Linked DNA regions of Callithrix jacchus. The protein of the gene in region 3 interacts with the protein of the main gene of each other region in a biochemical or structural test. Links are inferred from orthologs where the notes say so. Each region holds a gene or a part of one and is shown on either strand. Other genes may lie near its edges.

What was found.
Region 1: the proteins of CDK2 (region 3) and RBL2 form a complex in vitro, tested with the Homo sapiens proteins (3 studies listed by BioGRID, with this or other methods). The link is inferred for Callithrix jacchus from reciprocal best matches to the Homo sapiens genes CDK2 and RBL2.
Region 2: of the proteins of CDK2 (region 3) and POLA1, one has a biochemical effect on the other in vitro, tested with the Homo sapiens proteins (2 studies listed by BioGRID). The link is inferred for Callithrix jacchus from reciprocal best matches to the Homo sapiens genes CDK2 and POLA1.

The regions. Positions count from the first base shown.
Region 1 is NC_133521.1:11,359,297-11,362,948, forward strand, and holds part of RBL2 (retinoblastoma-like protein 2), read left to right. Parts: intron 1-1,585; coding exon 1,586-1,716; intron 1,717-3,652. UniProt on the Homo sapiens protein: Key regulator of entry into cell division. Directly involved in heterochromatin formation by maintaining overall chromatin structure and, in particular, that of constitutive heterochromatin by stabilizing histone methylation.
Region 2 is NC_133524.1:25,427,517-25,431,168, reverse strand, and holds part of POLA1 (DNA polymerase alpha catalytic subunit), read right to left. Parts: intron 1,177-3,652; coding exon 1,052-1,176; intron 1-1,051. UniProt on the Homo sapiens protein: Catalytic subunit of the DNA polymerase alpha complex (also known as the alpha DNA polymerase-primase complex) which plays an essential role in the initiation of DNA synthesis.
Region 3 is NC_133510.1:63,704,632-63,708,383, forward strand, and holds the end of CDK2 (cyclin-dependent kinase 2), read right to left. Parts: intron 2,060-3,752; coding exon 1,856-2,059; intron 1,576-1,855; coding exon 1,471-1,575; 3' UTR 324-1,470; downstream 1-323. UniProt on the Homo sapiens protein: Serine/threonine-protein kinase involved in the control of the cell cycle; essential for meiosis, but dispensable for mitosis. Phosphorylates CABLES1, CTNNB1, CDK2AP2, ERCC6, NBN, USP37, p53/TP53, NPM1, CDK7, RB1, BRCA2, MYC, NPAT, EZH2.

The DNA.
Region 1 (3,652 bases), on a different chromosome or scaffold from region 3:
TCTCTAGAACCAAAATGGACCATTATAGATTATCTTTTAAACCCTTTATTAAAGCACAGGATAATGTTGTGACTGACTTTATACTTTCTAAGAGATTTGATATAGTAGAGAAATGCAGTAGTTATAAATCTAAATTTGCTTTTACATTATAAATAACGAATATTGTGAAACCATCTCCCAGAGATAAGTGTAATACACAAACGTTGGCTGGTTTTTTTTGACAATACATCTGTGCTATTAGTACATATAAATGGATTTTTAAGATAGTCTATGTATAAATGTGAAAAATGAAGAACTTCCAGTTTTTCTTATTTTCCTTTAGACCAGTAATGGATACAGTGAAACTAAAGGACATCTTCCATCCTTGCTCTCTTTTATAGGAGTAGTAAAGTTGTATCACTTCTTGAATAAAAAAGAATTGTGAGGATGATCTTTTAGAAGCAATGCCTTAAAAATTATTATTGTTTAATGATAATATGTTAGTAATCTACAATAGTTTCATTTGGTTATAAGAATAAATTTCATGCATTCATGTATGTATTTTGATTAGGTATAAAATTAGTGGCTGAATGTCCATTCAAGCTTAATTTTGTATTTCTATAATTTTCTAGATTTTGAGCAAGATTAAAAATACAAACAACAATATTATGTCCATTCCGATGGCTATATAACAAATTACCTTAAAACTTAGGAGCAGAAAACAATTTGTTTTGCTCACAGGTTCTGTGAGTCAGAAATTCAGGCCAGGGACAATATTGATATCAGGTTTCTGCATCAAAATGACTGGTACCTCACCTGGAAGACTTGAGCAACTAGGAACTGGCACAGCTGGAGCTCATTGGGCATCTCTGTATGTCTGTTCCATGGTGGTCTCTCCAGCATGGTGATACCGGGTAACTGAATTCTTGGATGTTTTTTTAGGACTCCCAAGGCATATGTCCTAAGAGAAAGAACCAAGTGGAATCTATATTGCCTTGTATAATCTTTAGAATTACATAGTATCACTTCTACCTCTGCTGTTGATAGAGACAGTTAATCAGTGTGCAGACCCCTGCCCACCTCCATGGTGAGGGAACCTTCCCTGCCTCTCAGTAAAATAATGTCAATGTCACATTATAAGAAGAACATGTGGGGCCAGGCACAGTGGCTCATGTCTGTAATCCCAGCACTTTGGGAGGCCGAGGTGGATGGATCACTTGAGGCCAGGAGTTTAAGACCAGCCTAGCAAACATGGTGAAACTCCGTTTCTACAAAAATTAGCTGGGCCTGGTGGCACATAGTCCCAGCTACCTTGGAGGCTGAGGCAGGAGAATCACTTGAACCTGGGAGGGGGAGGTTGCAGTGAGCCAAGATCACACCACTGTGCTCCAGCCTGGGTGACAGAGCGAGACTCCATCTCAAAAAAAAAAAAGAAGAGCGTATGAGATAGGGTTCTTATTGAAAATAAATTTCCCACAAAAATATAAACACTTTCTTTTATTTTTTCACCCTGCACCACCATATAAACATTTAAACATACTTTAAAAAAATATTGAAATAGATATATAGCTTATTAATTAAAAATGGATTTTCTTTTCTTTTACAGGGAAATGATCTTCATTGGTTAGCATGTGCCTTATATGTGGCTTGCAGAAAATCTGTTCCAACTGTGAGCAAAGGGACAGTGGAAGGAAACTATGTATCTTTAACTAGAATCCTGAAATGTTCAGAGCAGAGGTAACTATGTTAGAGTTTGAGAAGTAGAGTATGGCTTATATGAGCTTATAAATCTTAGTGATAGTAACAATTCTGTTTATCATTTTCTGAGCATTTGTACCTGTGGACGGGTGAAATTAGATGCTAAAATTAGCATCCAATGATTTTCCTTTATTTGTATCAAAGTTGGTATCCATTATATTTTATTTCTTTGGTGAAAATATTTAAATTTTAATGTATTAGACACTTGTATTGAAGAGTTTATTATTTTATTTTTATTTATTTATTTTTTTGAGATGGGGTCTTGCTCTGTAACCCAGGCTGGAGTGCAATGGCGTGATCTTGGTTCACTGTGGCCTCTGCCTTCTGGGTTCAGGTGATTCTCCTGCCTTAGCCTCCTGAGTAACTGGGATTACAGGCATGTGCCACCATGCCCGGCTAATTTTTGTATTTTTTTGTAGAAACGGGGTTTTTGCCATGTTGACCAGGCTGGTCTTGAACTCTTGACCTTGTGATCTGCCCACTCCTGCCTCCTAAAGTGCAGGGATTACAGGTGTGAGCCACTGTGCCCGGCATTGGAAGAGTTTATTTTTAAAGGTTATAACATTGTGTAATATTGAGAGAAATGAAGGATATTGAGAAACTGTAGGAGATACTATAAGTTGAAAAGGTAAATAAAATATTAATTATTTGGTATTGTACTTAGAAATATGTGTACAGGACTTGTGGTCTTAATATAAATGGAACGTGTAAGTATTTCTCGGTTTCCTGTTTGGAAGAAAAATGACATGATTATAATCCATTTTAGAAAGAGTCAAATATGTTTAAAAGAAGAGGCAGAAATTGCTTTATCTGTTGTATAATTAAATTGATTACATTCTTTTTTTTGTGCCTTTTAGGTGAATTGTCTTATATAGCTTATTAAAGATAAGTGGAAAAATGATGTCTAATATTTGGGGGGAAATTATCACTGTCAAAATTTATGGATCTAATAGTTAAAAAAATCATGACTAAATAAAAAAATTGACCAGGTGTGTTTGTGCATACCTGCAGGACAAGCTACTTGGGAGGCTGAGATGGGAGGATCACTTGAGCCCAGAATGTTGAAGCAAGACCTTGTCCCCTACCCCCTGCCAAAAAAAAAAAAAAGCTTACTATTAAAGTAATTAACAGGCCAGGTGTGGTGACACACACCCGTAATCTCAGCACTTCGGGAGGTCAAGACTGGTGGATCACTTGAGGTCAGAAGTTCGAGACCAGCCTGGCCAATATGGCAAAAACCCATCTCAACTAAAAATACAAAAATTAGCTGGGTATGGTGGCGTGTGCCTGTAATCCCAGCTACTCGGGAGCCTGAGGCAAGAAGATCACTTGAGCCCCGGAAGCGGAGATTGGAGATTGCAGTGAGCCGAGATTATGCCATTGCACTCCAGCCTGGGTGAGAAGAGCGAGACTCCATCTCAAATGAAATAATTTACAGTGTCATGCTCTAGCTGTAATTTTTTTTTAACCGTTAGCTCCATCCTGAGTTACATTGACCAGACAATCAGTATGCAGAATTATATTAAGAACTACTAACAGGGTTAATAAAATGAATAAAGAATATGACTTCACAAAGGTTATAACTCACATAGCTAATAGATACAGGAAAAGATAATCTCACTAAGAAAGATTTTCAAAGTAAAAGGATAACATTTTATTCTATTTATTTATTTATTTATTTTGAGATGGAGTCTTGCTCTTTTGCCCAGGCTAGAGCACAGGGGTGTGATCTTGGCTCATTGCAACCTCCATCTCCTGAGTTCAAGTGATTCTCCCACCTTGGCCTCCCACGTAGCTGGGATTATAGGCACAAACCACCACACTCGGCTAATTTTTTTTTTTTTTTTTTTAAGGAGGGTGAGGACCCAGCCTGAGCAGCGGGGCCCACTCCCCAATTTTTTTGTATTTTTAGTAG
Region 2 (3,652 bases), on a different chromosome or scaffold from region 3:
TTTCTGTGCCTCAAATAACTCACCTTCAAAATGTTGTTAATCATAGTATCTAACTTCATTTGGTTACTGAAAAGATTAAATGAATAAACACAGGCCAGGCGCCATGGCTCACACCTGTAATCCTAGCAATTTGGGAGGCGAGGCAGGTGGACTGCCTGAGCTCAGGAGTTCAAAACCAGCCTGGGCAACACAGCAAAACCGTGTGTCTACTAAAAATACAAAAAAAAAAAAAAAATCAGCCAGACGTGGTGGCGCATGCCTGTAGTCCCAGCTACTCAGGAGTATGAGGCAGGAGAATTGCTTGAACCCGGGAGGCAGAGGTTGCAGTGAGCAGAGATCGCACCACTGCCCTCCAGCCTGGGCGACAGAGCAAGACTCCGTCTCCAAAAACAGTGAATAAACACATGGTAAATGCACTTAGAATAATATGTTAGTTCAAAAAGTGTATCAATTATGGTTATTTTCTAATATTGGTTAATCACTTTCTAGCCATAAGGCAGTTAAGATACTCAGGGCGCCCTAAAGGTGATGCTATACAGTATTATGCAGATGGTGGTCACTCTGTTTTTTACCTGCAAGCCATAAACAGTGGGTAGACGAAAATCAAAAGAGCATCACATTCAATCTTACAAGCAGGACACGGCAGGAGTTAAGGTCCAAGTTTCCACTGCCACTACCCTTGCAAATGAGATAAGGAAGAACAGTTCTCTCCAAGTAGTGCTTAGCTAGACTGCTCAATATCTTAGGAGTAAGAAAATGCACCTCTAAATGACCCCAACAAACCTATGGGACTTACCATAGATACAGATTGCTCAATAAGGAAAAATACAGATATGGCTATGTACTTCCATTTTGGAATTTTAAAATTATCTGTAAAATATCTTATAGGAATTCTACCTCATACCCATGCTTGTTCAATACTAATAAGTTCCTATTACAAGTTTAAAATATATGAGTATTTCTAATCCGGGGCAAAGGTGACATAAGACTACCTGCAGACAATGAATTAGATGAAGCACAGGAGGAATAAAGAGGAAAAATGGTTACTTACTTCATATTTACACTTCTCACCAGCTTTAGCCTTTTTCAGTTTTTCTAGAGCTTCTTGGCACCTCTTCTTTGATTTTTTTTCTCGCCGGGCTCGAGAAGCTACGAAACTCCCTGAATCTGACACAGCTGAAAAAAAAATTTACAAGAGATATTACAAAATTGTCAGCCATCTTCCCTCAAACACAAAGGAAAAGTTTCTAGCCAACAATAACATTCAATTTTAATATTATACAGTGATTTTTATAATGTAAATAATTCACAAAGCTCACGGCCAAACATACAGATCCAAATATACATGACTCTCCAGAATGTTCCTGTTAAAACAATTAAAGCCACTATTATTTTTTTCTCCAAAAAGAGGAAAATTCCCAATTCAACTGATACCCTGTGGAGACACTAAACAAGGGAGATCAGCGGTTAACTAATTTATCACCTTTCCATTAGAAATGACCAGCCAGAAATAATCCAGTGGGTTATAAAAGAACTATTAATCTTGTATTCTGTTAATCAACATCTAAAAGGCTTAAGGAGCATCTACTCTTTGCAAAGTACTAGGCACTATGAGACACAAAGATAGGCCAGGCACAGTGACTCACACCTGTAATCCCAGCACTTTGGGAGGCTGAGGTGGACAGATCATCTGAGGTCAGGAGTTCAAGACCAGCCTGGCCAACCAGATATGGTGGTACATGCCTGTAACCCCAGCTACTTGGGAGGCTAACACAGGAGAAACACTTGAACCCGGGAGGCGGAGGTTGCAGGGATCTGAGATCATTCCATTGCACTCCAGCCTGTGCAAAAAGAGAGAAACTCCATCTCAAAAAAAAAATAAATAACCAAGATAAAAAAGACATGGTCTCTGTACTCAAAGAACTTACTAACATGGGAGACAAGTAGCAACTGGCTCTAAACAATATTTGGAGGTAATACACACCTTAAAAGAGGTACAGACAAAGTACCCAGAAATTCAAAGGAATGCACTGAGGACTGGAGAAATTTAACAAAGATGGCTCTGAGGAGATTCTCGATATGTCACTTATTTCAAGGCCTCAATTGGTTATGACATAGGACGTTAGTAAAACAACTACAAAGACTAAAATTGTTTGTCAAAAATTACTGAAATATCAGAGGACTTCAGTGTTTATTCATTCAACTTTTGAATTATTCATGCTCTGGTCATCATAAACTGACCATTCTACGAACATACTGAAAAAATTTCGGCCAGGCGCAGCGGCTCATGCCTGTAATCCCAGCACTTTGGGAGGCCAAGGCAGGTGGATCAGCTGAGGTCAGGAGTTTGAGACCAGCCTGACCAACATGGTGAAACCCCATCTCTATTAAAAAAACAAAAATTAGCTGAGCGTGGTGGCAGGCACCTGTAATCCCAGCTACTCTGGAGGATGAGGCAGGAGAATCCCTTGAACCCAGGAGGCAGAGGTTGCAGTGAGCCGAGAGTACACCACTGCACTCCAGCCTGGGTGACAGAGCGAGACTCAGGGGGAAAAAAAAATTCATCCACAGAATTAAAGACTTTCATATACCCACTGATGAATGACTAAGTCAAGCATAATAGTGCTGCCTGTCAGCCATGAGTTTAGGCTCAGCATGATTGCCATGTATGCCTGTGAAATTTAGTATTTTATTGTGTTTGGTGCTAATTAATTTATAAAAAGGAGCAGGCACAGAAAAGGAGAAGTATGGATAAGAGGCAGCCTAAAACTCCAACCCCCCTAGAATGTTCATAACAACATCAAGCTGCTTAACTCAGTGTTTGACTGAAATAGAAGATACAATTTAAAGAACATGTACCAAGTGCTGGCAATAAACTGCTGGAGACTATAGCTTAAAGGTAAAGCATAATTAGAGATCTTACTTTTTTCTAGCTTTCTAGAAATGGAATCTCTCTTAATAACATCTCACTCTATTGTTTGACTTTCACATTTGACTTTTAAATCCATTTTCAGAAAGACATTAAGGAATAAAGGTACTTAATGATGACAGCCACAAAAACTTAGATGTCACTCAAATGATTTCAAAAATTGTGAACAGGCCTACATGAAAAGGCTTCGAAGATTACTCAACATGACCCCTGAAAGTGAAAAGCTAACCTCAGTGTATTCCCTTCAAGACTCCCTTGACGCCTGACATCTACAGGTCTTCAAATGGCCTGTGGAAGGCAACAACATTCCACTACACAGGGTTTAGGGTACAATTACAAATAAGACAGAGCTGCCTGTCCACAAGGGGCTCCCAGTCAAGTAAAGCAAAGTGCCTGAAATTGCCATCACAATATAACCATGGTGCCATAGAAAAGGTAAGAACTCAGTACTGAAGAAATGTACAGAGGAGAGCTGTTAATTTTGCCTGAGAAATCAAGGAAGGCTTCACAGGAGAGGTTTCCAATACAGGCCTAGAAAAAGGAGAATTTCACAATCAGAGAACAGGGTAAAAAGTGACACAGGTGAAAGAAGAGGCATGAGACAATTTACAAGGGATGAAAACGCATGGTGTATTCAGAAACTGAGAGACGTCAGCATGCAAGGCAAACTCAACAACAGAGTGTAGAATGAATACGAGCACCAGAATAGCGAGCAGCAGCACA
Region 3 (3,752 bases):
TTGTATGTGGTGTGTGTGTGTGTGTGTGTGGTATGTTGTATGTGTGGTGTGTGTGTGTGTGTGTGTGTGGTATGTTGGCTGGAGGAAAAGAGGTTTGTTGGTGTGTGGAGAAAGTGAAGTAGGAAGTATATAGGTTTCAGTTTCCCCATCCATAAATAGGGACAATAATAACTGCTTTGTTTATCACCAGCACTAGCCAAAATGGGGCAGGGTGGGTAGATACCCACAGAGAGATTAGGAAAAGGGGTCTGGAATAAATGATCACATATACATAGTCATATTGTCTCCCCCCATTCTTTTAGTAAATAAGATGAGGAAAGAGATGAACTATAAAACTAGGTACATTTTTTTAATGAACTACAAACTAAATTACAAGTAACGTTAATAGCAGGAGCACGCAAGGACAAGGGTGACAGAGACAAAATCATAAAAGAAAAACTGCTTTTTTTTAGCACTGTCATTACAAAACTTCAAGGTGCACATGGCAACAAATGCACCCACTCTGACCAAAAAAAAAAAAAAAAAGCCAACTCTACTATTGGATAAAACCTGAAGTATAAATATAATTGTTCATCCTTCTTTTAAAGAAATATTTTTATCCAATGCCCTCACTCAATCACAGCCCTGTAAAAGTGTCGGCATGCTCAAAATGATGCCTAAACCCTAACTTCCACTCCTATGGGGTAGAAGGTGGACTTCAGAGGAAAATGGGATCAGGAATCCCTGGCAATGGAAGAACTAAGAATACTAAAAGGAAGAGAAAAATTCAAACATCTCTCACCTGCCTCATAAGGCCGTGGTGAAATAGATTGGAATGAAGCACAATCCCTGTCCTAGGGCCTCCCAGACTCCTCATGCCGGTAGAAGGGACAAACATGGGGTCTGGGGCCAATTATTTCTTCTGCAGCCCTATCAGGGCTGAGTCTTGAGTCTCCCAGCCTATTAGGTGAGGCAAAACACTAACTAGGGTATAAACTGATTGGATCTATTTTTTCAAAGGAATTCTTTAAAATAGACTCCTCTCTGTGGTTTTGTTTTACTTGGTTCTCAAAAGCTCCAACTTAGGCCCCTGCTATTGTTTGGCCTTTACAAAAATTGTGGCAGCAGGAAGCTGGGGATCCTGGTCATCCCAAACACTGGAAATAATAATTATGGGGCATTCAAAGATTGGTATGGCAAATCTAATGTGTAGGGAGGCTTTTTTTTAAAAAAAAAACCAACCCTCTTTAGCAATAATTAGGAGAAGGGAGAAAGGATAGTGGAGGCTAACGTAAGTGCATCTAATACTGAAACTTCCTTTCATTTTTACTAGTTCCTCTCTTTCACCCCTGTATTCCCAGAGTTGGCTGGCTAAGACTGGAAGGTGAGTGTTTAAGGCAAGATCAGAGGGCCCACCTGAGTCCAAAGAGCCAGGTCAAGCCCACACTGGAGGAGAGGGTGAAATTAGGGCTGGGGGCTTTGAGAAGGCCATCAGAGTCGAAGATGGGGTACTGGCTTGGTCACATCCTGGAAGAAAGGGTGAGCCAGGGCTGCCTTTGCCGAAATCCGCTTGTTGGGGTCATAGTGCAGCATTTGCTAGAGGGAGAGGGGAGAGATGTATGTTGATTTCAATGATGTGATAGTGGACTAAATGGGCAGCAAGTGTTCCCAGAAATCAGGAAACCAGAACTCCTTCTACCCAAGGCAGAATTCTCACTTCCATCCTCCTGTATCTGAATCAGCATGCCAACAGGGAAAGAAGGAATCAGGGAAATGAAATACTGAGGCCCAGAGTTCAGGGTCTCATCCTTCCTTTATCCTGTAAAATCCCTTCCCTGGAAGAAATGAATGAGGGGAAGCAGGTGCCCACTCTCACCGATAACAGGCTCCGTCCATCTTCATCCAGGGGAGGTACAACTTTACTAAAATCTTGTCGGGCCCACTTGGGGAAACTTGGTTTGTAATCAGGCATAGAAGTAACTCCTGGCCACACCACCTCATCTGGGGTCCCCAGAGTCCGAAAGATCCGGAAGAGCTGGTCAATCTCAGAATCTCCAGGGAATAGGGCCCGGCGAGTCACCTGAAAATGGGGAAAGAGGAAATACCAAGACCCACATTGACGTCAGTCAAAACTGTCCTCTATACAAAGGAGTTCCCACAGGCAGTGAAAGGTCAGCAGGGCCCCATGACTCCCTCCCTAGGGCCTTTCATGGGGTCGGTCACACAGAACCTGAGACAAAGAAGTCCCTTCATCTGTCTCCTTGCCCCCTCCTTCCTTCCCCCAACCATGACTTTGCAGATCCCCAAGGCTGGGTGGGGCTGGGAGGGGGTGAATGTCTGGGGTGCCACTGACATGTAGCAAAGGGATCCCAAGCCACTCACGGGGTGTGGGGTAGACACTGCGGTCATCCCCCAACCTTGTGATGCAGCCACTTCTAGATAGGAGCACAGCGGGCAGAGACTCTGTCTTCCATTTCTTCTGTGTTCCCCACAGCACCTAGCATGGTGCTAGGTACACACTAGGTGCTTAACAAATATTTTTTGATGAATTGAGAGAGGAATATGGGCAATTGTAAGGTAATGCTTTGGGGGATAAATGCACATTACATATGTATAGGCTAAGGGTCTTTAAGCTCTTGGTTACAACACAGATAAAGGACCATAAAACATTGCTGATTTGAAGCCTCGGCCTACTGCACTGCGCTGTTGTATTAAAGGAGATGGGAGCTTCTACATAAGGCCAGGCCTCAAGGATCCTTCAGTCTGAAAAGCCAGAGGTTGAAAGGGGATGTGATCTAAATCTTTTTTTTTTTTTAATAAAGATGGGGTTTTAGGGCCGGGTGCAGTGGCTCATGCCTGTAATCCTAGCACTTTGGGAGGCTGAGGCGGGTGGATCACGAGGTCAAGAGATCAAGACCATCCTGGTCAACATGGTGAAACCCCATCTCTACTAAAAATACAAAAAATTAGCTGGGCATGGTGGCACGTGCCTGTAATCCCAGCTACTCAGGAGGCTGAGGCAGAAGAATTGCCTGAACCCAGGAGGCGGAGGTTGCGGTGAGCTGAGATCGCGCCATTGCACTCCAGCCTGGGTAACAAGAGCGAAACTCCGCCTCAAAAAAAAAAAAAAAAAAAGATGGGGTTTTACCATGTTGGTCAGGCTGGTCTTGAACTCCCGACCTCAGGTGATCTGCCCACCTTGGCCTCCAAAGTGCTTGGATAACAGGCGAGAGCCACCATGCCCCACCAATCTTTTTTTTTTTTTGAGATGGAGTCTCGCTCTGTCACCTGGGCTGGAGTGAAGTGGTGCGATTTCATCTCACTGCAACCTCCGTCACTCAGGTTCAAGCGATTCTCCTGCCTCAACCTCCCAAATAGCTGGGATTACAGGTGTTTGTACCACCATACCCGGCTAATTTTTGTATTTTTTGTATAGATGAGGTTTCAGCATGTTAGCCAGGCTGGTCTTGAACTCCTGTCCTCAGGCAACCCACCCACCTCAGCCTCCCAAAGTGCTGGGATTACAGGCATGAGCCACTGCGCCCTGTCTAAATCTGCAGTTTAAATGAAGGGTGTGAACAAAGTGACCACAACTGGCTTCACTACATTCCTGGCACCATACAACAAGGTCTACAGGCCTTGAAGTGAAGCCCTAAAATAAAAGAGGCACTAAATGGAATCATTCTCCCAAATATATGCAGACTATGGTTAAAACAGATGCAGAAATGTTTTACCTCATTTCAGGGATAGAGATGTATACTAGGTACTAAGGC